2 linked regions of the Anolis sagrei genome follow. The protein of the gene in region 1 purifies or fractionates together with the protein of each later gene. This does not show direct contact. Links are inferred from orthologs where the notes say so. Each region holds a gene or a part of one and is shown on either strand. Other genes may lie near its edges.

Evidence for each region.
Region 2: the proteins of RPA2 (region 1) and RAD52 purify together in Homo sapiens (affinity purification with western blotting; 3 studies listed by BioGRID and IntAct, with this or other methods). This does not show direct contact. The link is inferred for Anolis sagrei from reciprocal best matches to the Homo sapiens genes RPA2 and RAD52.

Annotation. Positions count from the first base shown.
Region 1 is NC_090034.1:86,979,070-86,991,130, forward strand, and holds the start of RPA2 (replication protein A 32 kDa subunit), read right to left. Parts: upstream 4,517-12,061; 5' UTR 4,428-4,516; coding exon 4,412-4,427; intron 2,474-4,411; coding exon 2,379-2,473; intron 654-2,378; coding exon 552-653; intron 1-551. UniProt on the Homo sapiens protein: As part of the heterotrimeric replication protein A complex (RPA/RP-A), binds and stabilizes single-stranded DNA intermediates that form during DNA replication or upon DNA stress.
Region 2 is NC_090025.1:178,594,028-178,606,228, reverse strand, and holds the start of RAD52 (DNA repair protein RAD52 homolog), read left to right. Parts: upstream 1-7,304; 5' UTR 7,305-7,490; intron 7,491-12,201. UniProt on the Homo sapiens protein: Involved in double-stranded break repair. Plays a central role in genetic recombination and DNA repair by promoting the annealing of complementary single-stranded DNA and by stimulation of the RAD51 recombinase.

The sequences.
Region 1 (12,061 bases):
GTTCAAGTTATTCACAGGTCAGCGCTAGCAGTTATATAAAAAAGAACTATTCCCTCCTAGGAAAACCTAAAAGAAACACTGACTGCATCTTCTCTTTCTGCTGTGAAAATGCTTCTTACCCTTTTGAATGTATGGGCAAGGAGATGCTGGTTTATCCACAGATCATATCAAAATCCATAATTTTGGACCCAAAATCTGCCCTTGACTTATACATGAGGTTGATTTATAAATGAGTGTACATGTTACTACTGCAATTTAATCCTCTTTGGTAGAAGAATCCAGATGGCTAGCACAATACACAGACTTCCCCAGGCCCATTGATTCCATAGTATATTACATATTTTATATTAAATGTAATATTACTAATAATATTACAGTATAATGTTATAGTACAGTGTAATATATAATATTAATATTGTGCTATGATAATAATATAATATATTGTATTTACTTTTTACTTGTAAGCCGCTCTGAGTCCCCTTTGGGGTGAGAAGGGCGGCATATAAATGTCGTAAATAAATAAATAATAGTGTGGGAAGGAGAATGCTTACCTGTGAAAGTTCAACTTCTCGGACCCTGAAAGCATCATCCACTTGTTCAGCTGAAAGTAACTGAGACACTGTACAAGGAATAATACTTTGTGATCTTGTCCTCTGTAATCAGGAAATATAAAAACTCAAAATCTTTACTTCCTCTATCAAAAGAACACATAGTCTAGAACAGGTTTTAAATCAATTTAAAAGAGAAGCAGAAGAAAAATGACACAAGAATATCAGAAATACTGTATTTTTAATAATCATCACTGGACAAGATGCAACCAAGTGATCCACACAACAATTAACTAAAGCTGTAGAGAATTCCTGAATGAGAACTAAAGATAAGCCCTTATGATTTGAAATGGCACCACTCCTTTCTATGAGGGTTTCTTAAAAAAACAACAACAACAACCACATTCTTAAGATATACAGCAAGGTGTTAGGATTTGTAAATATTAGATTACTATTGTGCATAGATCCAAAGCCAGATAATCAAATAATCATATTCATCAATCCAGGGCCAATTCCAACTGTACTGCACAGATAATTATGCTGGGCCAAGAGGGAAGCGGCTGACCGAATCCCACTAGAAGGGAGTTCCATAGTCGAGGGGCCACCACTGAAAAGGTCCTGCCTCTCGTCCCTACCAGTTGCACCTACAAAGGTGGTGGGACAGAGAGCAGCCATTATATTCATCCTGCTGCCGATGTCCACACTACTGGAAAAATTTTCCACAAAGCACTGCATGAGTCACAAAAACAAATATGCTTTTGATTTGATATATCTTAGAATTTAAAAAAATCCAATCAGACAGAAGAAACAAAAAGTGGCAGCTATTGCCAGAACATGCCAGCAAATAATCCAGGATAACAAAAAAAAGCTATGTCAATATTTTTGTAAAATTATGAGAACTACGTAAGTTTCAGAAACATTTATCCCATCTGTTTTCTTCCAGTCACCCTTAACAATTAACTCTGAAAACAAATAATACTAATGTGTTGTGCTCAGTGGAATAACACAAACATGTTATTCCGTAAAAGGAATTATTTTTATGCCTCAACATCTTATAAGGCCATGCTTTCAGAAAAAAAGAAAACTATTTCAAAGGAAAACCTCCATTCCCATTTCGAAAAGAAGTCCTGGCTTTTTCATGCAAGCTAATAATAATAACAACAATTTTATTTTTATACCCCACCTCAATCTGCCCGAAGGGACTTGGGGCGGCGTAAACATAGGACAAAATGTCCACAAAACATCAAAACAAAACAATCCATTAAAACAAAAAACACGATTAAAATAAAACATAGCAAAGCATAACAATCAGATAAAAACACAATTAAGTAAAACATTAAGGTATGAAACAACAGCATTAAGACTCGTTCAAAAAATGAATGACAAAAAACGATAACTAAAAATACTGAGATGGACCTGATCAGGCTATAAAAAGGACTGGGCATGGGATAGTGCAAAACAGCATAGCATAAGGTCGGGGATTGGGAAAAGTGCCGAGAACAGAGTACTATCTGGAGAACTAGGGACTGGGCATTTATAAGTAGAGACTAGTCATTCCCAAATGCTTGTTGGAACATCCAGGTTTTCAGATCCCTATGAAAGGAGGACAGTGTAGGGGCTTGCCTAATCTCCCTGGGGAGGGTGTTCCAAAGTTGTGGGGTCACCACCAAGAAGGCCCTCTCCCTCATCGCCACCAACTGTGCATGTGAAAATGGTGGGAGCAAGTGGAGGGCTTCCCCAATGGATCTAAGGACCCACACCAGTTCATGGGGGAGATGCAGTCACAAAGATAGGTGCTTTGTAGGTCATAACCTGCACCTTGAAACCTACCGATTTCTTTTCATCTTGTGTCGCAGAAGGGGATGCAAAGCCTCCAGGCGATTGTGTATATCCTCCTCCTCCCCCATATGCACTGTCATAGCCACCTGAAATTCAAAAGATAAAAATAATAGGGCAAAGCTGCAAAGTTACTTTCATACTTCTCAGTCTCTGGGGTTTAAGAGTAGGGAGCAAATTGGAAATAGATCAGAAACAGGTTAAAGTGTATCCATCAGTACCAACTGCACATTCTGACAGATGGCAGATGGGTGCAGGCCAGATGTCACACTTCCACCTGCGACATCAAGAGCTGGGCAAAGGAATTCAGTTATTAATTGAAATATTTATAGCATGCCCTCTGTACAGAAATCTCAGGTGGCAGGCAAGAAAAACAACACACAAATGTAAATATACATGCTAAAATTATTTATTAACTTACAATTATGTTACGTGAGTAACAGGTTTTTAAGTGATTTTACCATGTTTTTTTTTAAAGTCCGGTTATTTCTATTTTATTGCTTCTGTGGGTTTTAATTGTATGATTTGTAATTTTAGGCACTTTGAGTCTCCATTAGGAAATAAATAACCTTCTCTTCTGCAGGCTAAAATACCTAGCTCTCCAAGACACTCCTCATAGGGATTCATGGTCTCCAGATCTTCAATCATTTTAGTCACCCTCCTTCCAACTTGTCAATATCTCTTTTAAACTGTGGTGACCAGAACACAGTATTCCAGGTGAAGTCTGACCAAAGCAGAATAGAGAAGCACCATGACTTCCCTCGATCTGGGCACTAAATGTGATCAAAGTACTTCATCTCTGCCTCTAATAGATTCCCTCCAATGAGTAGTCGGGCTTTATTTCCTGAAGTGTGGACTGGTTGGGTCTTCTCAGGGTCCAAGACACTCTCAGGACTTTCCTCCAGCACCACAGTTCAAAAACATCTATCTTCCTTCGCTCGGTCTTCCTCACTATGCGGATCTTTGTTGCCAGTGTGATGTCTTTACTCTTCACTACTTTATCGAGATTGGTCATTGCTCTCCTCCCAATAAGTAAATGTCTTTGGATTTCCTGGCTGCAGTCTGCATCTGCAGTAATCTTTGCACCTAGAAATACAAAGTCTGTCACTGCCTGTTATGGTAATTTTGAATTCTGATCCTGTCCTCTGGAGTATTGGCTATCTCTCCTAATTTGGTGTCATTTGGAAACTTGATAAGCATGCCCTCTAAACCAGGCATGGGCAAACTTGTGCCCTCCCTCCAAGTGTTTTGGACTTTAACTCCCACCATTCCTAACAGCCTCAGGCCCCTTCCTTTTCCCTCTCAGCCGCTTAAAGGATGCCTTGCTCTGACCAATTCCCAGCAAAATGTCCTCAGAAGCACCTTAACTACCCATTGGGTTGATCTCCTACATTATCCTTTAAAACCCTTCTGCTTAGAGACATCCTACCTCTGTTCGCGTAGTGTTTATTTTAAAATTTTAATCTATTTATGGCCATACATTTTTAATTTTTTGTGTTATTGCTTATATGTGAGTTATATTAATTGTACTGTTTTATTTGCTTGCTGTCTTGTTTTACTGATGTGTTGTTGGGCTTGGCCTCATGTAAGCCGCCCCGAGTCCCCTTGGGGAGATGGGAGGGGATATATATAAAGTTTTATTATTACTATTAAGTCCAAAGCACCTGGAGGGCCCAAGTTGGCCCAGGCCTGTCATAGAATCATAGTATAATAGTTATACATGCCTGCTGTAAGAGTCTTTTCAAAAACTAAAATTCCCAGAAGGCCCCAAATCACAGTATTTTGCTCTGAAAAGAGCACAAGGAGAAGCCACCCCTCCACCAGGCCTAAGACCTCAAGCAGGCCCTTCAATGGAGGGGCACTCCATCCTCCCGACATCTAGGCCTCAAGCCTTTGAGGGCTTCAACTATTTCCCTTGAGTTCAGACATGTTCAAAGAAGCCCCCTCCCCCCCTCCTCCTCCTCCTCCTCCCCCCCCACAGCCTTCCCTTGCTTCGGCCCCGCTTTCCCTCCTCTCGGCTCCCTCACCGGTCCCGGCCCACATCCCGCGACGATGAAGAAAGTCCGCGACACGCAGCAATGGCAACCTTGTCCCACCGGCAAAAGAAAATCAGCGGGCTCCCCTGGCGCATGCGCTCCTTCTTCAGCAAGGCGCGCGCAAAAAGCAGCGCTCGGGATAGGCCAGCTACAGGCCCCGCCCCTACCGCGAGCCGCCAATCAGCTTCTTCATAAGGTAGGCCTTGCAAACTTGGGCCTTCCAAGTGTTTTGGACTAACTCCCACCATTCCTAACAGACTCAGGCCCTCAGGAAGGGTCCTGAGTCTGTTAGGAATGGTGGGAGTTGAAGTCCAAAAACACCTGGAACGCCCAAGTTTGCCCGTGCCTGTTATAATTGGTTATTAGTTCCGTCACAATGGAGGGCTGATGGCTCAGCCTCCTTTGATTCTTTCTCCTGAGGGGCTTGTGTTGGACATCAGTCCCCATTATCCCCAGGCAGCGCAGAAGATGGCTAGTTCTCCCAATGAGCTTCTTCCTGAGCAGCACTGCAATGCCCTACTGGCCGTTCTCTTTGCCTCCCTCCAGTGGACACAACGAGAACAGCACCCTTGGTAGAAGCGCCTTTTGCGGCTCCAATGTGGGGTTTTGGCGCCATCTTGTGGGCGCGTCACGAAATTGCATCCTTTTACAGTTCAGCCATCGGGTTTTTGTTGTCTTTGTGCTGTCGCGCGCTGGGCCTGTGCATATGACTGTAGTTGTTGTTGTTCATTCGTTCAGTCGTCTCCAACTCTTCGTGACCTCATGGACCAGCCCACGCCAGAGCTCCCTGTCAGCCGTCACCACCCCCAGCTCCTTCAAGGTCAGTCCAGTCACTTCAAGGATGCCATCCATCCATCTTGCCCTTGGTCGGCCCCTCTTCCTTTTGCCTTCCACCTTCCCCAGCATAATTGTCTTCTCCAGGCTTTGCTGTCTCCTCATGATGTGGCCAAAGTACTTCAACTTTGTCTCTAGTATCCTTCCCTCCAGTGAGCAGCCGGGCTTTATTTCCTGGAGGATGGACTGGTTGGATCTTCTCGCAGTCCAAGGCACTCTCAGAACTTTCCTCCAGCACCACAGCTCAAAAGCATCGATCTTCCTTCGCTCAGCCTTCCCTAAGGTCCAGCTCTCACATCCGTAGGTGACTACAGGGAATACCATGGCTTTGACTAGGCGGATCTTTGTTGCCAGTCTGATGTCTCTACTCTTCACTATTTTATCGAGATTGGACATTGCTCTCCTCCCAAGAAGTAAGCGTCTTCTGATTTCCTGGCCACAGTCTGCATCTGCAGTCATCTTTGCATCTAGAAATACAAAGTCTGCCACGGCCTCCACATTTTCTCCCTCTATTTCCCAGTTGTCAATCATTCTTGTTGCCATAATCTTGTTTTTTTTAATGTTTAGCTGCAACCCAGCTTTTGCACTTTCCTCTTTCACCTTGATTAGAAGGCTCCTCAGCTCCTCCTCGCTTTCGGCCATCAGAGTGGTGTCATCTGCATATGACTGTAGACAGGACATAAATTCTGTGTGCCCAACGGGACGCCGGGGCTGCCTCAGATTAAAGGCCCTTGGACCCCCCCAAAGTTCTGTAGAGGCTTAAAGTAAGTCCAACAAAGTTATTTATTGATAAAAAACAAACAGGTACTTAAAAGTTTTCATAACAGTCTATAGGCTCTTGCAATCTTGTTCACTGGGAACAGGCACTATCTTCATAACTATATAATAACTAATGGGGAAATCCTTAACTTCCAATCTGGGCAGTCTGTCTTTGCCTCTGTTGGCATGGAGCCCCTGCACCCGGTACCAACTGCATCTGGCTTCCACAAGCGACCCTTGCCCCAACAGAGCTTTGTAGACTTCCAGGGGAAAAGAAGGAATTCAGGTTGCTGTGATGGCTGGCTGAAGTCCCTCAGCAAAGGAGCTGAAAGGCTGTATGATCCTCGGCCAAGCTGTGGGCTGTATAACCCTGGCCAAGCTGTAGGCTGTATATCTCCCCGGCCAAGCCGTAGAAGATGAAGCTTTCTACAGGAGCTCTTCGTTTTATGTCCTGTGCGAAAGGCTTCTCTGTGAGAACTGACTCAAAAAGGCTCCTATTCCCTCCAAAACTCAAAAAGGGGCAGGACCAGGGAACCTAACAATAATTGACAGGTGGCTTGCCCTATGATTGCAGCCAAAAGAAGCCACCTATCTGCAGAGTCCCTGAAACTTGGGACTATAACAAACATTCAATGCAAAGCAAACAAAATGGGAGCTTCTGGTACAGCTGTACTGGCACAGTCTTATTGATAATGTTATATGTTTATGTTTTATTTTAATTGCTTGTATTGTTGTGATTATTGCTTGTATTGTTGTGTTTGGGCTCGGCATGTAAGCCGCACCGAGTCCCTTGGGGAGATGGTAGCAGGGTACAAATAAAGTGTTGTTATTATTATTATTATTATTATTATTATTATTATAGGGAGGCTAGTAGGCTTCTCCATGCAGTCATGCCAGCCACATGACCTTGGAGGTGTCTATGGACAATGCCAGCTCTTCAGCTTAGACATGGAAATGAGCACCCCACCCCAGAGTCGGACACAACTGGACTTCATGTCAAGGGAAAACCTTGACCTTTTGGTAAGCTTCTAAGAGATCTGTGGCAGTGTTTCTCATCCTGGGGGTCGCGAGGAGGGTGTCAGAGGGGTCGCCAAAGACCATCAGGAGACAGTATTTTCTCTTGGTCATGGGGGTTCTGTGTGGGAAGTTTGGTTCAATTCCATCATTGGTGGAGTTCAGAATGCTCTTTGATTGTAGGTGAACTATAAATCCCAGCAACTATTTATTTATTTATTTATTTATTTCTTGCATTTGTTAACCGCCGCTCTCAGCCCTAGGGCGACTCGCGGCGGTGTACAGTACAAAAAGGACACTTTACAAAGGAATCAGAACAACAATTAACATCACTAATACATAACATCTAACTTACACTAAAAATCCGCTCCGTCATATTTATGGAATCATAGTCAATCTCGTAGTCATAGTTCAATCCGGTTGTCATTACCCGTAACGTAGCATTTAGTTGAAAGCCTGCTCGAAGAGCCAAGTCTTCAGGCCCTTACGAAAGGCCATGAGGGAGGGGGCCTGTCTGATGTTAGCAGGGAGGGAGTTCCACAGCCGGGGGGCCACCACCGAGAAGGCCCGCTCTCTCGTCCCCGCCAGACGTGCCTGTGAGGCAGGCGGGATCGAGAGAAGGGCCTCCCCAGATGATCTCAAGGTCCTCGTGGGCTCGTAGGCCGAGATGCGGTCCGCAAGGTATTTTGGGCCGGAACCGTTTAGGGCTTTGTAGGATAACACCAGCACCTTAAATTGGGCCCGGTAGCAAATCGGCAGCCAGTGGAGCTGGAACAACAAGGGCGTTGTATGCTCCCTGCGTCCTGCTCCTGTTAACAACATGGCTGCCGCGCGCTGGACTAGCTGCAGCTTCCGGGCCGTCTTCAAGGGCAGCCCCACGTAGAGAGCGTTGCAGTAGTCAAGACGGGATGTGACCAGAGCATGTACCACCGTGGCCAAGTCAGACTTCCCAAGGTACGGGCGCAGATGGCGCACAAGCCGAAGCTGTGCAAATGCTCCCCTGGTCACCGCTGAAACCTGGGGGTCCAGGCTCAACGATGAGTCCAGGGTTACACCCAAGCTGCGAACCTGCGCCTTCAAGGGGAGTGCGACCCCATCCAGCACAGGCTGTAACCCTATACCCTGCTCGGCCTTGCGACTGACCAGGAGTACCTCTGTCTTGTCTGGATTTAATTTCAGTTTGTTCGCCCTCATCCAGACCATTACAGCGGCCAGGCACCGGTTCAGGACTTCGACAGCCTCCTTAGTAGCAGGTGGAAAGGAGTGACAGAGCTGGACATCATCTGTGTACAGATGACACCGCACCCCGAAACTCCGGATGATCTCACCCAGCGGCTTCATGTAGATATTAAACAGCATGGGGGACAGGATAGAACCCTGAGGAACCCCACAGGTCAAAGGCTGTGGAGTTGAACAGGAGTCCCCCAATAACACCTTCTGGGTCCGTCCCTCCAGGAATGACTGGAGCCACTGCAGAGCAGTGCCCCCAAGACCCACTCCCGCAAGGCGCCCCAGAAGGATACCGTGGTCGACGGTATCGAAGGCCGCTGAGAGGTCCAGGAGCACCAACAGGGACACACTCCCCCTGTCTAGCTCCCGGCGCAGATCATCCACTAAGGCGACCAAGACCGTCTCGGTACCATGTCCCGGTCTGAAACCAGACTGTGCCGGATCCAGATAATCCGTGTCTCTCAAGAGTACCTGGAGTTGTGAAGCCACAACGCTTTCCATGACTTTGCCCAAAAAGGGAAGATTGGAAACAGGCCGAAAGTTGTCAAATTTAGTGGGGTCCAGTGATGGTTTCTTCAACAGCGGCTTTATAATAGCCTGTTTTAGGCTCGCTGGAATCTTGCCTTCCCGAAGGGAGGCATTAACCACCACCGTTACCCACTCAGCCAATCCCCCTCTGGCCTCCCTCAGAAGCCAGGATGGGCAGGGGTCTAGGATGGACGTGGTGGGCCTCATTCCTCCAAGTATCTTGTCCACATCCTCGGGCTTCACAAACTGAAAAGAATCCATCAAAATAGGACAAGCAGGCGCTCGTGTCACATCCACAGAGACTGCATTTAATGTGGTGTCCAGCCCAGAACGGATCAAAGCGACTTTGTCTGCAAAGAACCGAGCAAATGCTTCACAGCGCGTGGCCGAATTGTCAGGGCTCCCACCTGCGGTGGTGGGAGTCAAAAGACCTCTGACAATCCGAAACAACTCCGCCGGACGGTTTTTTGCAGACGCAATAGTGGCCGCAAAGAAAGTTTTCTTTGCGGCTTTTATTGCCGCGGCATATGCCCTTAAAAAGGACACAAACCGTGCTCGATTTGGCTCGCTTGGGTCTGAGCGCCACACGCTCTCTAGTTCCCTCTTCCTTCGCTTCATCGCTGCCAACTCCTCAGTGAACCAAGGAGATGGTTTAGCTCGGTTACTTGAGAGGGGACGTTCCGGAGCGATCATGTCAATTGCCCTGGCCATCTCCCCATTCCAGAGAGCGACCAAGGCCTCGACATGGTCACCTACCGAGGTGGCGGGAAAGTCCCCAAGAGCCGTCAGGAATCCATTCGGATCCATAAGCCTCCTGGGGCGGACCATCTTAATGGGTCCTCCACCTTTGCGGAGGTTAGGGGGCGCAGTGAGTCTAAATCTGATCAGGAAGTGGTCAGTCCACGGCAACGGAGAGATGGACAACTCCTCCACACCGCCACCCTGCTCCCATCCCTGGCAGAAAACCAAGTCCAATGTATGTCCAGCACAGTGGGTGGGGCCAGTTATTTGTTGGGACAGCCCCATGGTTGCCATGGCGGACATGAAGTCCTGAGCCGCTCCTGTGAGGGTCGCCTCGGCATGGATGTTGAAGTCCCCCAGCACAAGAAGCCGTTGGGACTCCAACGCCAGGCTCGAGACCACCCCCGCTAGCTCAGGTAGGGAGACTGTAGTGCAGCGAGGTGGACGGTACACTAACAGAATCCCTATTCTGTCCCGGTCACCCACCCTCAGGTGGACGCATTCAAAATTTGTGGTCTGCGGGATGGGGCTCCTGGTCAGATGGATGGAATCTCTATAGATCACTGCGACCCCGCCTCCCCGTCCTCCGGATCTCGGTTGGTGCTGTACGGAGAAGCCTGGAGGACAAAGCTGGGTCAGATTTACACCTCCAGCTTCATCCAACCAGGTCTCCGTAATGCACGCCAGATCTGCCCGCTCCTCCAGGATTAGGTCCTGAATCCAGGTCGTTTTTCCATTGACAGATCTGGCGTTCAGCAGCACCACCTTCAATCCCGAGGGCCCGCTCACCTGGTTACACCAATTTACCTTAGGAGACCGGTTGGGAATTGTTAATTTAGATAAGCGGTCCGAATTAGGCCGAATTCGAGGTCTCCTTCTTCCGCATCTCCTCCTTCCCACCACGACCTCTATGGGGGCCCCTCGGCTAGTGGAACACCTCCCCCCCTCCATGCCGCGATCTAATATCAAGGACTTAATTCCTGCTTCATCAGCTGTATGATTTGTTGGATCCTGCCAACACCCTTTCTCCCCTTCCTCCCTCCTCCCGGCCCCATTGGGCTCCAGCCCACCTCCTCCCCTGACCTTTCCGCTAACTAGTAGTAACAGGGACAGTACTACCAGGGGGGTGGGGGGGCCACATGGATGACAATAGCTTCAGATGGTAGAGGCGTTTCAGCCACACCCGTTAGATAGTTTGTAAAGTGCGAGAGTGCAAGAGTCTTAAGTGCGACACAGTCAGTAGTACCACTCGGTTGACAACACACTGCGTTCCGTTCGGCACATACATAAAGTGCAAGATCTAAAGTGCAGTAGGTACCTGAAACTGGGTCTCAGCATTCACTAAGGTGCGGCATAGAGGGATAGGGAAGGGGGCGTAAGTGCAAGTGGTGTTTAGCAGCAAGTGGCAGGCGCCCTAAAGTGCTGTTGTGTTCTTATATCAACTAGCAGCGGGGACAACCAAGGAGTGTGATATGATAGTAGTATATAGTCACACTCTTACGAGGATAATGGTAATAACAATTAAATAAAATTATTATGATTCAGGTGTACCTCTAGACGGTTGGTCTAAGAGCGGATGGGACATCCGGAGGTGGTATACACAGCGGCGGTCAGCGCCGTTGGTCTATTGTGTATCTATCAATCCAAAGGGGGCCAGCTCAAGGGTCTACACAATATTAAGGCCGGCACAAGAGGTCTACACAGTGTTAAGGCCAGCACAAAGGTCTACACAATATTAGGCCGGCACAAGAGGTTTACACAATATTAAGGTCTACACAATATTAAGCCAGCACAGAGGTCTACACAATATTCGGCCGGCACAGGGGATCTACACAGTATTAGGCCAGCACAGGATGTTTGCACAGTATTAAGGCCAGCTCACGAGGTCTACACATTAATTGAGGTCAGCACAAGAGGTCTATACAAGTCCAGGCACATACAAGTTCTACACAAAATTAGTTAACACGGCAACACAGTCGCTGTTAGCTGGTGGCAAAGGCGAATTCCAGCCGCTGTGACAAGGTGGTGAGCCGAATGGTGATGGCTGCGATGGGAGGCGGCAGCAATAGCGAGGCAGCCCGGTCGCTGCAGCGGTAGCAATAGGGCGGCGGTAGCGATGGTGAGGCGAGGCGTCACAAAGGCGGCTGCAACAGCGGCGCTCCCGTGCCCCGGCTCGGCCCAGCGGCTCCGCGGTGGTCCGGCTGCGGTGGTCCGGCTGCGGGAGGGCGGTGGCGATGGAGAGGCGAGATGCCAGAAATGGCGGCCGCAGCAGCTGCGACGCGCTCCGCGCTCTGTTTCAACCCAGCGGCTCAGAAAAGGCCCGGCAGCAGCGGCAGCTACGGCGAGCCACGCCAAGGCCGCAGCAGCGATCCGGCGATCCGGCCAAGCGAGGCCGAGGCGGCAGCTATGGCGAGCGGTAGCCTGGCCAAACGGGGGGCCAGGTAACGCTCCGCCGCGGCCCGGTGGTCCAGCAAACCCTGCGAACGGTCAAGCAGCCCGGAGGCTCACCAGCAAACCAATGGCAGCCGCAGCGGT
Region 2 (12,201 bases), on another chromosome or scaffold:
CCTCAACCTTCTTTAAAAGATGAATTGCTACTCTTGAAGGCTTTAAGCAAGAACAGTTGAGGGGAGCAGAAAAAGGGAATCAGAGAAATGTGTAAAAGTGATGGATCATGCGTGGTTCCAAGGCTGGGCTTTACCCACTCCTGTTCTAAAGCGAGAATATTGTAACTCTACTTCACAAAGCTGGCCAGAAATTTTCGTAAGATATCGCTATTGACAGTTACATTACAAACACTTCAAAAAACATTAAAGGCTTCCCAATTTAGTGATTTTAAAAGTATTACTGGAATAATTTTAGGCTCCCATCATCAATTTTCTCACAAAGCTCTTTTCAACTGATCCTATTTAATGATCTTACATTTAAGCAATAAATGCTAAATTCACTGATCTCATCTGATCTTACTAATAAAAGATCAAGTTTCTGCTAATGTTTTGTTCTGCTTTGTAACAAAATAGTATTTAAATCAGTAGTAAATATTTTGTTAAGTATGAAGAAATATTCAAAAGTTTACCAAAAAGAAAAAAAATGAATGCTACACTAGAAAGTGATAAGCCATTGTTACATGTTCATTCTGCATTAAAACAACTACTCCTACATATACAGTATTAAAAAACAACATAAGAAATGGTTATGGTGCAGCAGACAGAATTCTAATGCGCACACTGGTTTTGTCAGTGAGCAAACTCCATGGACCCATCACTTACCCAATTATGTGGCCTTTATATTTATTTATAAAAATTATAATATCTTAGGCACCAGAGAGCAAGTTAACATCCTCTTCTTTGTAGCAGCCCTTCTGGTATTCAAAGGGTACAATCATATCACTCTCCAGTAAAATCAAGCCAAACAAGTCCAAGTACTTCAACTTTTTCCTGGATGTTTAGTTCTCCCTGACTCTTATCATCCTTTTTGCTCTTCTCTGAACCTGGTCTGACTTGTCTACTGTATATTATTCTTAAAATAAAGCACCCAGAACTGACTGTGGTACCCAAGAAAGATGATTATCTAAAAATCTAGTAATGGTTTCCTCTACCCCAACATCTAAATCATTGATTAAAAATATTGAAGAGCATTGGCCCTACAGCACCTCATTTTAAGATCTGAAAATATGAAGGACGGCCACTAGTGACAACTCAATTTTCCAACTAATTACTGAGCTATGTCATATTCTCTCCATCTAATTCTTGTTTTGTTAGTAGCGAACAAAAATATTATGAGGGATCTTATCAAATGCTGTGCTGAAATCCACACAAAGGAATTTCACAGCATTCTCACCATCTATTAAACTAGTGAACAATTAAAAAGATATAGTGATGGTATTGGCAAAAGTGCCCTGAACAAATCTTACCAAGAACATCCCATGATGGGTTTGCCTGAGATTTGCCATAAGTCAGAAGTGACTTGAAGGCACACTTTTTCTCACCACATACAGTGGAAAAACTGGTAATGCTAACTGCTGAAGACACATTCACCAGTACCCAGGAGCCTCTTACATGCAATGGCAAGACAGCCTTTCCATTCTATTGCACCATCATCCTATTGTAACCAGTTCTAAGGGAACCTTATCCTGAATTACCGGAAACTAAAGACACTAAGAAAATTGTGCTTTCTTCCACAAGACTCTCTCAAACCATTTCAGACACAACATATGTGAAAAAAGAGAGCAACTTTAAAAAATGGGGAACTTTGGAGGTCAAGCAGCACTTTCTAGTATCTGTCCTGGAAACTGAAAGTTAAGATTTATATATTGCACTCAAGTTGAAGAATTTCACTTAGTGATAGGAATCAATCACTTTATAATGTTGATAAAGTAATTACTGGATAGCTTATTGTCTGCACAAATAATGATATAACACTACAATTCTTTACATTTTACTAAACATACAGGATTCTTTTGTTTTGTAATGCTCTTATTTCATTCTCTTAATCTAGCTATTTCTTACTTCATTATTTTAACAGCATCTGCTGTACTGTCTGTTCTAACATCACAATTCCAGGTTTCACAACTCCATAAATAAGATTCCCCAAACCTGGTGCCCAGATATGATGGACTACAAATACGACCACCCTTCCTAAAAATGTCCATGCACAGCATGGACACAGCTAATACAAAAAAAAAGAGCAATACTTTTTAAAACGTAAAGCTCAGCACTTTTCCCTAACTGCTCTAACATTCTTTCCTTCAAATCGTTTTTTTCCTTTTGTATGTGTCACTTATATATTATAAATTTAACATGCATCATTCTTTTGCTAGAAATAAAGGTTTGCTGCACACTACCAATTCATTAATAGAACAGGAAAACTGTTCAAGATGTATACAATAAAATTAAATATATGTTCTAAAATTATGTTGACATTAGAGACATATGCTCTAAAGATTTTGGTCATATAGCACATCTGAAGAATTCAAATCTTCAAGTCAGATCTGCGGTGCTGGACAATTAATGAAGAATCATGTAATCAGAGTAGAGGAAGGCATAATCAAGGAATGACTTTCAGGAATAAGCACAGCATAATGAATCAGAGAGGAGTGGCTAAAGGAACGGTAAATGAGTCCTGGAACAGAAGCCCTCCCAAGTGAGATGTAAGGAATTTAGAAGCACAGGATCAACTGTGCATGATACAAGTTTTCATTAAGTACTATATGATCTTTGTATCTGATGGGAATAAGGCCATCAACCCTGTGGGCAACTGAAACTGTGGATAATGAAGCATATATTTTGACTATACTTGGGCCAAAAGGAAATAATCGAATCTGACCAGAGAACTAGGAGGGCAATACTAAATATTAAATACTGAATCTGTGGATAAAGGGATCATACTATATGAAACAATTTACCTATTGCAAACCAATATGGAAAGAGACTGCATCAAAACATGATATAAATTATTTAAAATACATAATTGAGATCATTTTAGTTGTTTTTTTTCCCTTTTTGCTCCATCTAAACCAGGCACAGCCAAACTTGGGCCCTCCAAGTGTTTTGGACTTATTTATATCACATACTTGTATCCTGCCCCTCTCACCCTATAAGGGGACTCAGGGCGACCTTACAGCAATTCCTACCGGCTATTGGGAATTGTGGGAGTCTAAACTATACAAAACTGAATTAAACCCAAGACCAATTTTTGACTGAGGATGGGTTGAGAATGGAGATGAAAATAATATCTTTCTGCAACTAGGAATACGTATTTTTGAAAGCATGATACAGCCCAGTGCACCCAGTTGGGGAATTATGCACTCTAGCTAGCAATAGTTCAAGGCCTCACCACAGCACTTTCCCCAAGGTTACTACCCTGAGATTAAAAAAAAAATCCTAGAAATTACCAAAGCTGACTGTCAAAATCCAAGGCTGCAAATTAATATTTCAGTTAGTTTCACAGCATGACGGCCACCCCATTCCATTAGAAAGAATTACCAGAACAAGGCAGTTTCATAATCCAATCAGAATTAAGGACAAAACGGAATTATGAAAGATAAAACCATTGCACAGCATTCTTCCTCGCCCTATCCACTATCTCAAAGAATATCTAATCAGTAAATGCTCCCCTCCATACCAGCAAGACTGCTTCCTACATGCTTGTCATCCATGTGCCAATTTCATAGAATCACAGAGTTGAAAGAGACCTCATGGGCCTTCCAGTCCAACCCCTGCCAAGGAGCTGGAAAATCGCATTCAAAGCACCCGACAGATGGCCATCCATATGCTTAAAAGCTTCCAAAGAAGTAGCCTCCACCACACTCCAAGGCAGAGAGTTCCACTGCTGAACAACTCTCACTGTTCCGAAGTTCTTCCTAATGTTCATGTGGAATCTCCTTTCCAGTAGCTTGAAGCCATTGTTCCATGTCCTAGTCTCCAGGGCAGCAGAAAACAAGCTTGCTCCCTCCTCACCATGACTTCCTCTCACATATTTGTACATGACCATGATGTCTCCTCTCAGCCTCCTCTTCTGCAGGCTAAACATGACCAGCTCTTTAAGCAGCTCTTCATAAGGCCTGTTCTCCAGATCCCTGATCATTTTAATCACCCTCCCCTGGACACATTCCAGCTTGTCAACATCTCTGGAATTGGACACAGTATTCCAGGTGTGGTCTAACCAAGGCAGAATAGAGGGGTAGCATGACTTTTCCCTGGATCTAGACACTATACTCCTATTTTACAGGCCAAAATCCCTTTGGCTTTTTTTTGCCGCCGCATGACATTGTTGGCTCATGTTATTCACGAGGACTCTAAGATCTTTTTCACACGTACTGCTCTTTCGAGCCAGGTAACCCCCATTCTGTATCTTTACATTTCATTTTTTTCTTCCTAAGTGGAGCATCTTGCATTTGTCACTATTGAACTTCATAACGTTAGTGTTGGCCAATCGTCTCTCTAATTTGTAAGGTATGGGAGGAACATTTATTGAAGCTAAACTCAACACAGCAACTTCTCAGATGTGAACATTCATATGCCCCAAAGTCACTCCACTTTAAATCCAGATGGTGCCTCCTGCAGAATTCTGGGGTTTGTAGTTTAAGGAGGCACCTTTAACAGCCTTACTAAACTACAAACTCCAGAATTCTGCAGGAGGCAGAAATCGGATTTAAAGTGAATTCATTCTCTATTGTGATGATGTAGCTAGAGCAGGCATGGGCAAACTTGATCCCTCCAGGTGTTTTGGACTTCAACTCGAACCATTCCTAATAGCCTCAGGCTCCTTCCTTTTCCCTCTCAGGGAGGCTGTTAGGAATGGTGGGAGTTGAAGTCCAAAACACCTGGAGGGACCAAGTTTGCCCTTATTTATTTATTTAAAAAAATTATATCCCGATCTTCTCTACCTCTGCAGAGGGACTCGGACCGCCTAACAGCAATGATTCAATGCTAAAACTGAAAATCTAAAACATGATACACAACATTAAGTTACCAATTACATATTACATAAATTACATAAAAGCCTTTCGCAAAGATAAAATCGTGTCCAACTCAGTCCGTATGTCCAGTCCATATATTGTGATCAGTACCATTAGGTTCGAATCTGGGGAGAGGCGGATGAGCTCCCTCTATCAGCTCCAGCTCCTCATGTGGGGGCATGAGAGAAGCCTCCCACAAGGATGATAAAAACATCAATTCATCCGGGCGTCCCCTGGGCAACGTCCTTGCAGACGGCCAATTCTCTCACACCAGAAGCAACTTGCAGTTTCTCAAGTCACTCCTGACATGACCAAAAAAAAAAAGTACCATTAGTTGATTGCCGGTGTGAGACATCGTTCCACAAAAGCTTTGTTGCACAGCCAGGTACCACTAGCTTCCTAAAGGTCAGGAGAGAGGGGGCAGATCTAATTTCATTTGGGAGGGAATTCCATAGCCGAGGGGCCACCACAGAAAAGGCCCTGTCTCTGACCAATAGGAGGCATCGTCCCGCCTTTCTCGGCCTCCTGACACATTTCATACCTGCCTTAATGTATGAAAAGCAAGGCATATTCTCACACCAATTGATTGTTAGCGGCAGGCAGAAAGCTCCCATGGTTTCCCAGAATTGAGAATGATTAGACTATAAAAAACAACAACAAAACCCCAGTAAAACAGGTTTGTGCCCCTAAAAGTATTGTGTCTCAATAATGGTTTCTAAAACGAGGAGTAGGCTTTGGAGAAGGAGGGAGGATGGAGCGCCAGAATATCTATCTGAAGCAAAATGGCTTTTTGTGAAAACAGAGAGGGGGGGAGAAGAGCCGAGGAAAAGAGGCAGGTAGATGATGTATTCCAGGAAGCCATGCCTGGCAACCGGGTGGGGCGCAGGGAAAGGAAGAGGCAGAGAGATTATGAGGAAAGGAAGGGGGGAGGAGAAGAGAAGGGCTCCCCTTCAAGGAAAGGCGATATTAAGAGGACTCCCCCTTGAGTGTGGCCTCCATGGAGAGAGAGAGAGGGAGGGAGGCCTTGGGGCAGGAGAGGGCCTGGCTCCAGCTGGCCAGGCAAGGCCCCGCCCGACCCCCTTCCCTTCCCCTTGCCTCAGCTTCGAAGCCACACAGAAGGCCCAGCGGCTAACAGCCTACCTCCTGCCCCCGGCCAGCTGTAGCTCTCCAAGCAGGCGCGGCTTCCCTTCCTTTCGATCCGAGCGGCGGAGAGGCTCCTCCTTTTACCTCAGAGAGAGAGAGCCGCTCGCGCCCTGGCCCCCGGCGGCGGCGCGAGACCAGCCAGGCCCCGCCCCCTCCTCCTCCTCCTTCCCTGCCTTCCTTCCGTCGGCGCGAGAGACCGACCGTAGCCCCGCCCCCCTTCGGCCCAGGCGCGCGCCTCCCGCTCGAAGCCCCTCCCCCTTTCTTCCCTTCCTCCACGAGCCAGGCCCCGCCCCCTCCTCCCTCCCTTCCTTCGGTGCGAGAGACCGACCGTAGCCCCGCCCCCGTTCGGCGCGAGCCTGAGCCAGGCGCGCGCCTCCCGCTCGAAGCCCCTCCCCTTTTCTTCCCTTCCTCCCTCCCTCCACGAGCCAGGCCCCGCCCCCTCCTCCTCCTCCCTCCCTTCGGTGCGAGAGACCGACCGTAGCCCCGCCCCCCTTCGGCGCGAGCCTGGCCCAGGCGCGCGCCTGCAGCTCGAAGCTCCTCCCCCTTCCTTACCTCTCTCCCTCCCTGAGCCAGGCCCCGCCCCCTCCTCCCTTCGGCGCGAGCCTGGCCAAGCCGCGCGACTTTCGCTCGAAGCTCCTCCCCTTTCCTCCCTCCCTCCTCGAGCCAGGCCCCCTTCTCCCTCCCTCCCTTCGGCGCGAGAGACCGGCCGTAGCCCCGCCCCTCTTCGGCGCGAGCCTGGCCCAGGCACACGCCTCCTACGCGAAGCTCCTCCCTCTTTTTTACCTTCCTCCTCCCCCTCCCCTTCCTCTCTCCTCTATTCGGCGCGTGCCTGGCCCAGGCGCGCGCCTCCCGCTCGAAGCTCCTCCCCTTTTCTTCCCTTCCTCCCTCCAAGAGCCAGGCCCCGCCCCCCTCCTCCTCCTCCTCCTCCTCCCTTCCTTCGGCCCGAGAGACCGACCGTAGCCCCGCCCCCTTCGGCGCGAGCCTGGCCCAGGCACGCGTCTCGCGCTCGAAGCTCCTCCCCCTTTCTTTCCTCCCTCCTCCTCCGCTCTCCCTCCCTCCCTCCCTCCCACCGCTCGACCGCTTCACTCCAGACTTATGCTATTCACCTACCTCCACGTTTCGGCTGACGTATCCTTTCCTTCTCCCCCCCTTCTATTCCTCATCCACTGAGCCTGCCAATCATTTTTTCAGAAGCGCCCTCATTGGTCCGCTCTGACCAATAGGAGGCGTCTTCCCGCCTTTCTCGGCCTCCTGACACGTCTCGGGTTCCTATGCCATCTTCCCCCCCTTTCCCATTGGAGGGCGAGGAGACGTTTCTGCGCAAGCGTCGGTGAGCACCCGCGGGAAGTTTGTCCAATCTAGCTCGCCGTACCCGTCATCTCTGACTAAGGCTTTCAAAAGAAGGAGGCAGCGAGGGTTCCCTCCCCGTTCTCTCAGCCCGTCTCTCCCGCTCAGGTAACGGAGAAGAGGACATTACACCTACATTTAGGCTCGAATTCAGTGGGGAAAGGCTTGGGCTTTTGGAAAATGGCATTCATAACCTTTTGGAGATTAAAACTTTTTAAGGAAAGCATGACCATTCCCAGAAGAGCCAAAAACTCTTTAGAGTAGAATCTTCTCTTGTGATATACAACCAGGTGTAATTATACTAGGCAATGGTTTCAGTTGTTAGACTGAATAACCTGTTACCTCTGATCTGTTAGGAAAACAGAGATTTGCCAGTGCATAAAAAGGACACTGAAAAACACTTCTGAAGCACTGCTTTTTTATGCACTGGCAGATCTCTGTTTTCCTAACAGATCAGAGGTAACAGGTTATTCAGTCTAACAACTGAAACCATTGCCTAGTGTATATATATACATATATACTGTCCCATAAAGCAACTTGTTTATATCATGAACTCAAGAGACAAAAATGAAGTAGACTTGGATAAAAAATAACATAGTTGGTTTACTTACGGCCTTCATATGTTCAGCATACACAGCTACACAACTTATCAGTCCAGTTTCAGATATGATTGAGATAATTCTCTTTGCCATCTGGAGCCAGGACATCTGTTACAGCAAAACAGCATGCAAGTGTGTGATCCGACGTCTGAAGTCTTCTAAGGAACTAGAGAGTAAAGGAAGCTGCACACCAGAACATATATACAGGAAACAATAAGCAACAGGATCATAGATAAACATTATTAGAGAAGCTCAGTTCTTGTGGGGTTTTTTCGGGCTATATGGCCATGTTCTAGAGGCATTTCTCCTGACGTTTTGCCTGCATCTATGGCAAGCATCCTCAGAGGTGAGCCATAGATGCAGGCGAAACGTCAGGAGAAATGCCTCTAGAACATGGCCATATAGCCCGAAAAAACCCACAAGAACTGAGTGATTCCAGCCATGAAAGCCTTCGACAATACATTATTAGAGAAGGCTTGAAGAAAGTTGTCATTTCCAACATGGGGCCCTTTCAAGCTTCAAAGCTCCTTGAGATAGTGTGGGTTATAAATAAAGTATTATTATTGTTATAAAGTTAAAACTATGTCATCGCATTTAACTGCCACGGTTCCATCTTAGGACCTCTAATTTCGGAAGGGCCACTTTGAATTCCCAGTCAGGGAGCTCTAGTGTCATTGCATTGTTGTTATTATTATTATTATTGTTGTTGTTATTATTTGATACACGACAAGATTAGTACACAGCAAACAAGATCACTGTGCTGGTTTTTGTATTTGATAACACACCAGACACTTCCCAAGTGTCTAGGACAGTGTGATGTATCAGCAAATAATGTGTGCAGATCCAAGTTGGGTGACCTTTTGCAGCTGACAGCTGGTAATTCTGTCAGTCCTGATTGTTTTTAAATGCAGGCCAAGGTCTTTAGGCACCCAGTGTGCTGATCATCACTGGGACCACCTTTACTGGCTTGTGCCAGAGTCTTTGCAGTTCTATCTTTATCATCATCATCACAGGATTCTGTAGGATGCAGCCATAAGTGTAGTTTGACACCACTTTAACTGCCATGACTCTATGTTATAATAATAATAATAATAATAATAATAATAATAATAATCCTTTATTTGTACCCCGCTACCATCTCCCGAAGGACTCGGTGTGGCTTACAAGAGACCGAGCCCAAATACAATAGTAAAAACAACAGCAACAACAGACAGCAAAATAACTCAGAAAACAAAGCAATAACATTGACAACACACAATGACACAATTAAAAACAATGGCAGTGCCAAATGTAATAATTAAAATTAAAAGTGCTGGGCATGACCAGGTGGAGTGTTTTGGAGGGGGATGGGCATGCAGATATCCTAGATCTCTGATAAAGTGTGTTGGGACATAATGCTAGGAGTTTCCTATTCTGGGAAGGCACACTGGAACAACCACGTTATGGAATCATGGGAGTTGTCATTTTGCAATGACATTAGTCTTCTTTGCCAAAGGGGACTGATACCACACCAGACTACAAATCCCAAGGTGCCATAGCATTAAAGTGGTGTCAGACTGCATTAATTCCACAGTGTAGATGCACCCCATGACAGTTACAGTGGGGTCATAGCGCTATAATTGGGTGCTGTGAAGGCACCCTGAGCCTTAACATTTTCCACATGTGCCTTTTATTCAGTCAAGCCGTAAAAGTTATAAAGGGATACATGTGGTATTGGCAGCAGCAAACCTTGCAGAGCTTCCAGCTTTGTCATAACTCTAAAGCAAACTCCACAGCATATTGTCGGCAGTGTTAGTGCAGAAAGGTTTGCGATGGCCTTCCTCTGAGGCTGAGAGAGAAGGTTGCCCAAGGTCATCCAATGCGTTTTATTGAGCTGGGATTTGGACCCAGTAGTCCAGAGCCCAAACCACAACACTGTGCTGGTCCTTCCCAAAGGGAAATTGTTAAAATGAAAGCAGGACATGGTTGCAAGAGAGTCAAACAAAGTGACATCTTTTGTGTTCAGTTTTAAGTGCAGTAGTAGCCACAGTTACTGGACAGCATTAGGCAAGGAAAATGACATGTAATGACTGGCATCCCCAGCAAATCTTTCCAAGTACAGCTTCCCCTCCAGGAAGCCCTATGGGGCACATTCAAACTAATCTTTGAATGCACTTCAAAGGCAGCCTGACAGCTCAGTGTTTATATGATGCACACCACGATTAAGCCCTGCAGTGCACTTTAAGGGCTTTAAACTGAGATAAAGTTGCAGGATACTCTGAAATATAGCCCATAATGTGTGTCAGCACGTGTGGGCGTAATTTTTAACTCGCTCTTTCATAATGTGCACTTGTGAAGTTCTTTGGCAGTCTGCACATATGCAATTAGGGAGGGCCGAATTTTAAAAAATCTTAGATTCTCCCCAGTTGTCAAGCTGCAGACATTGCAGATTCTGGAATCAATTTGATAAGCACCACTTAGGCCTTGAAGCAATATTAGGATTTTCTACATCCGCACACCAAAAACTGCTTCCATCTCTGCTGGTTTCACATGTAGTCTGTAGATGTGACCAAGGAATGTATTTCCAATGAGGGACCTACTCCATTTTTCTTTATACTCCAGAGTGAAATCCCGTATAGCAGCTGGGCCCATCACAAACAACTGTGGATGGACGCACAGTGAATCATGCTGCACCATCTGAGTATTAAACAATAGCAGCAACTTTGCCTTTACCTGATAGGCAGTTCCCCAAAAAGCAGTGGAAAGTGGCTCCAGCCTATTTCAGACTATTTCCTAGGTAGCAGGAGAGTGTTTCACAAAAAGGAGGATTATCCCAGGAAAGACCCCCCCCCCACACACACACACCTCTGTTCCTTTGAACTTTTTGAATTATAGGTAACCTAAACTCATTAATTTTCCATGTGACCAAAAAAGTGAACCACACTGTAAATTAATAAATTCCAGTTATTACTGAAAAGGTTTGAAAGAGAAGACAATTAAAAAGTGAGGGATGCCTATATTTGTTCAGAAAATTATGCATTACAAAATAAAACTTAGTTTAAACTGAATACTTAAATTATGCCTTCTTTTCTTGGTAGTTAATCAGTTCTAAATTGACTGTGACCTTAATTCTTTTGCAGCCAAAGAAAAATCCTAGATAGCTGTTATATATTCTGTAACACTCAACCAGGCAAGAAATGTAGATTATCAAGATTCAGGTGTCCCACAAGCAGCAAATTGGCAAGACAAACCATATTATCACACCAGGTCTTTAAAGCGGGCAACCCGGCATTTCTGCCACCTGCAGAATTCTGGGAAATGTAGTTTGGGAAGGTGAGGACCACTGTAGCTGAGAATCCAAAAGGCTCCACCCTAAACTACATTTCCCAGAATTCTGCAGGTGATAGAAATGCGGGGCAGTCCGCACTAAAGCCCTGGTGTGATAATGTCACAAGTTGTGTTTCCCTAAAAGATTCACAACCTGTGTGGTAAAGTCTTGCGTATGGCCTAAGACGACTTCAGTTCTGAGCTATGAGAAAAATGAGAGGGAAAAGCTTCAGTGAAACCATAATTTCAATTAATGACTTTCATAAGGCCTTCATTTAAAATAGTGCTGTATTCCTCTCCTAAGTAATGCATCTAATGACAACTGCTTTAAAGAGTACCATATTTCCCATCAGACTAGTGGTTACTGAAAGAATGAGTAAAAGGGAAGCAAGTGTAATTACGGATATCATAGTCCCTTCATCATAAATATTCTGCAAACAGCTTTTATTACTTCTGGGAAATGGCCCAAGTAATTATTCAAGGAGCTTCGGAATTTGCGTGTGTGTAAAATCATCAACGGAGGCCTTATTTGCCAGATCTTTCTGGTTTCTCATCTTAGCACTTGTTTAAGAGATATGTTTATAATTCTTAATTAAGAAAATATGTTACATAAGAATAAAAAAGCAAAAATACATGTAAGAAACAATTCAGGTTTAATAGACTCTATATAAATGTGGCCACAACCCACTTGTAAAATTTTATATGCGCTACCATGCTTTGCTGCCAATGACTATGCAAAGCGGACAAGTTTTGGAACCTGCAAATGAGTTACTGGTATATTAATAAATGTAAAGTTAATTAAACTAATAAATTTATAGTAATCATAATTACTACTTGTTTTAATTAAACAAGAAATATTTTATTGATTGTGATGTATAATTGATTGTTTTAATTGTTTATAATTGTTTTAATTG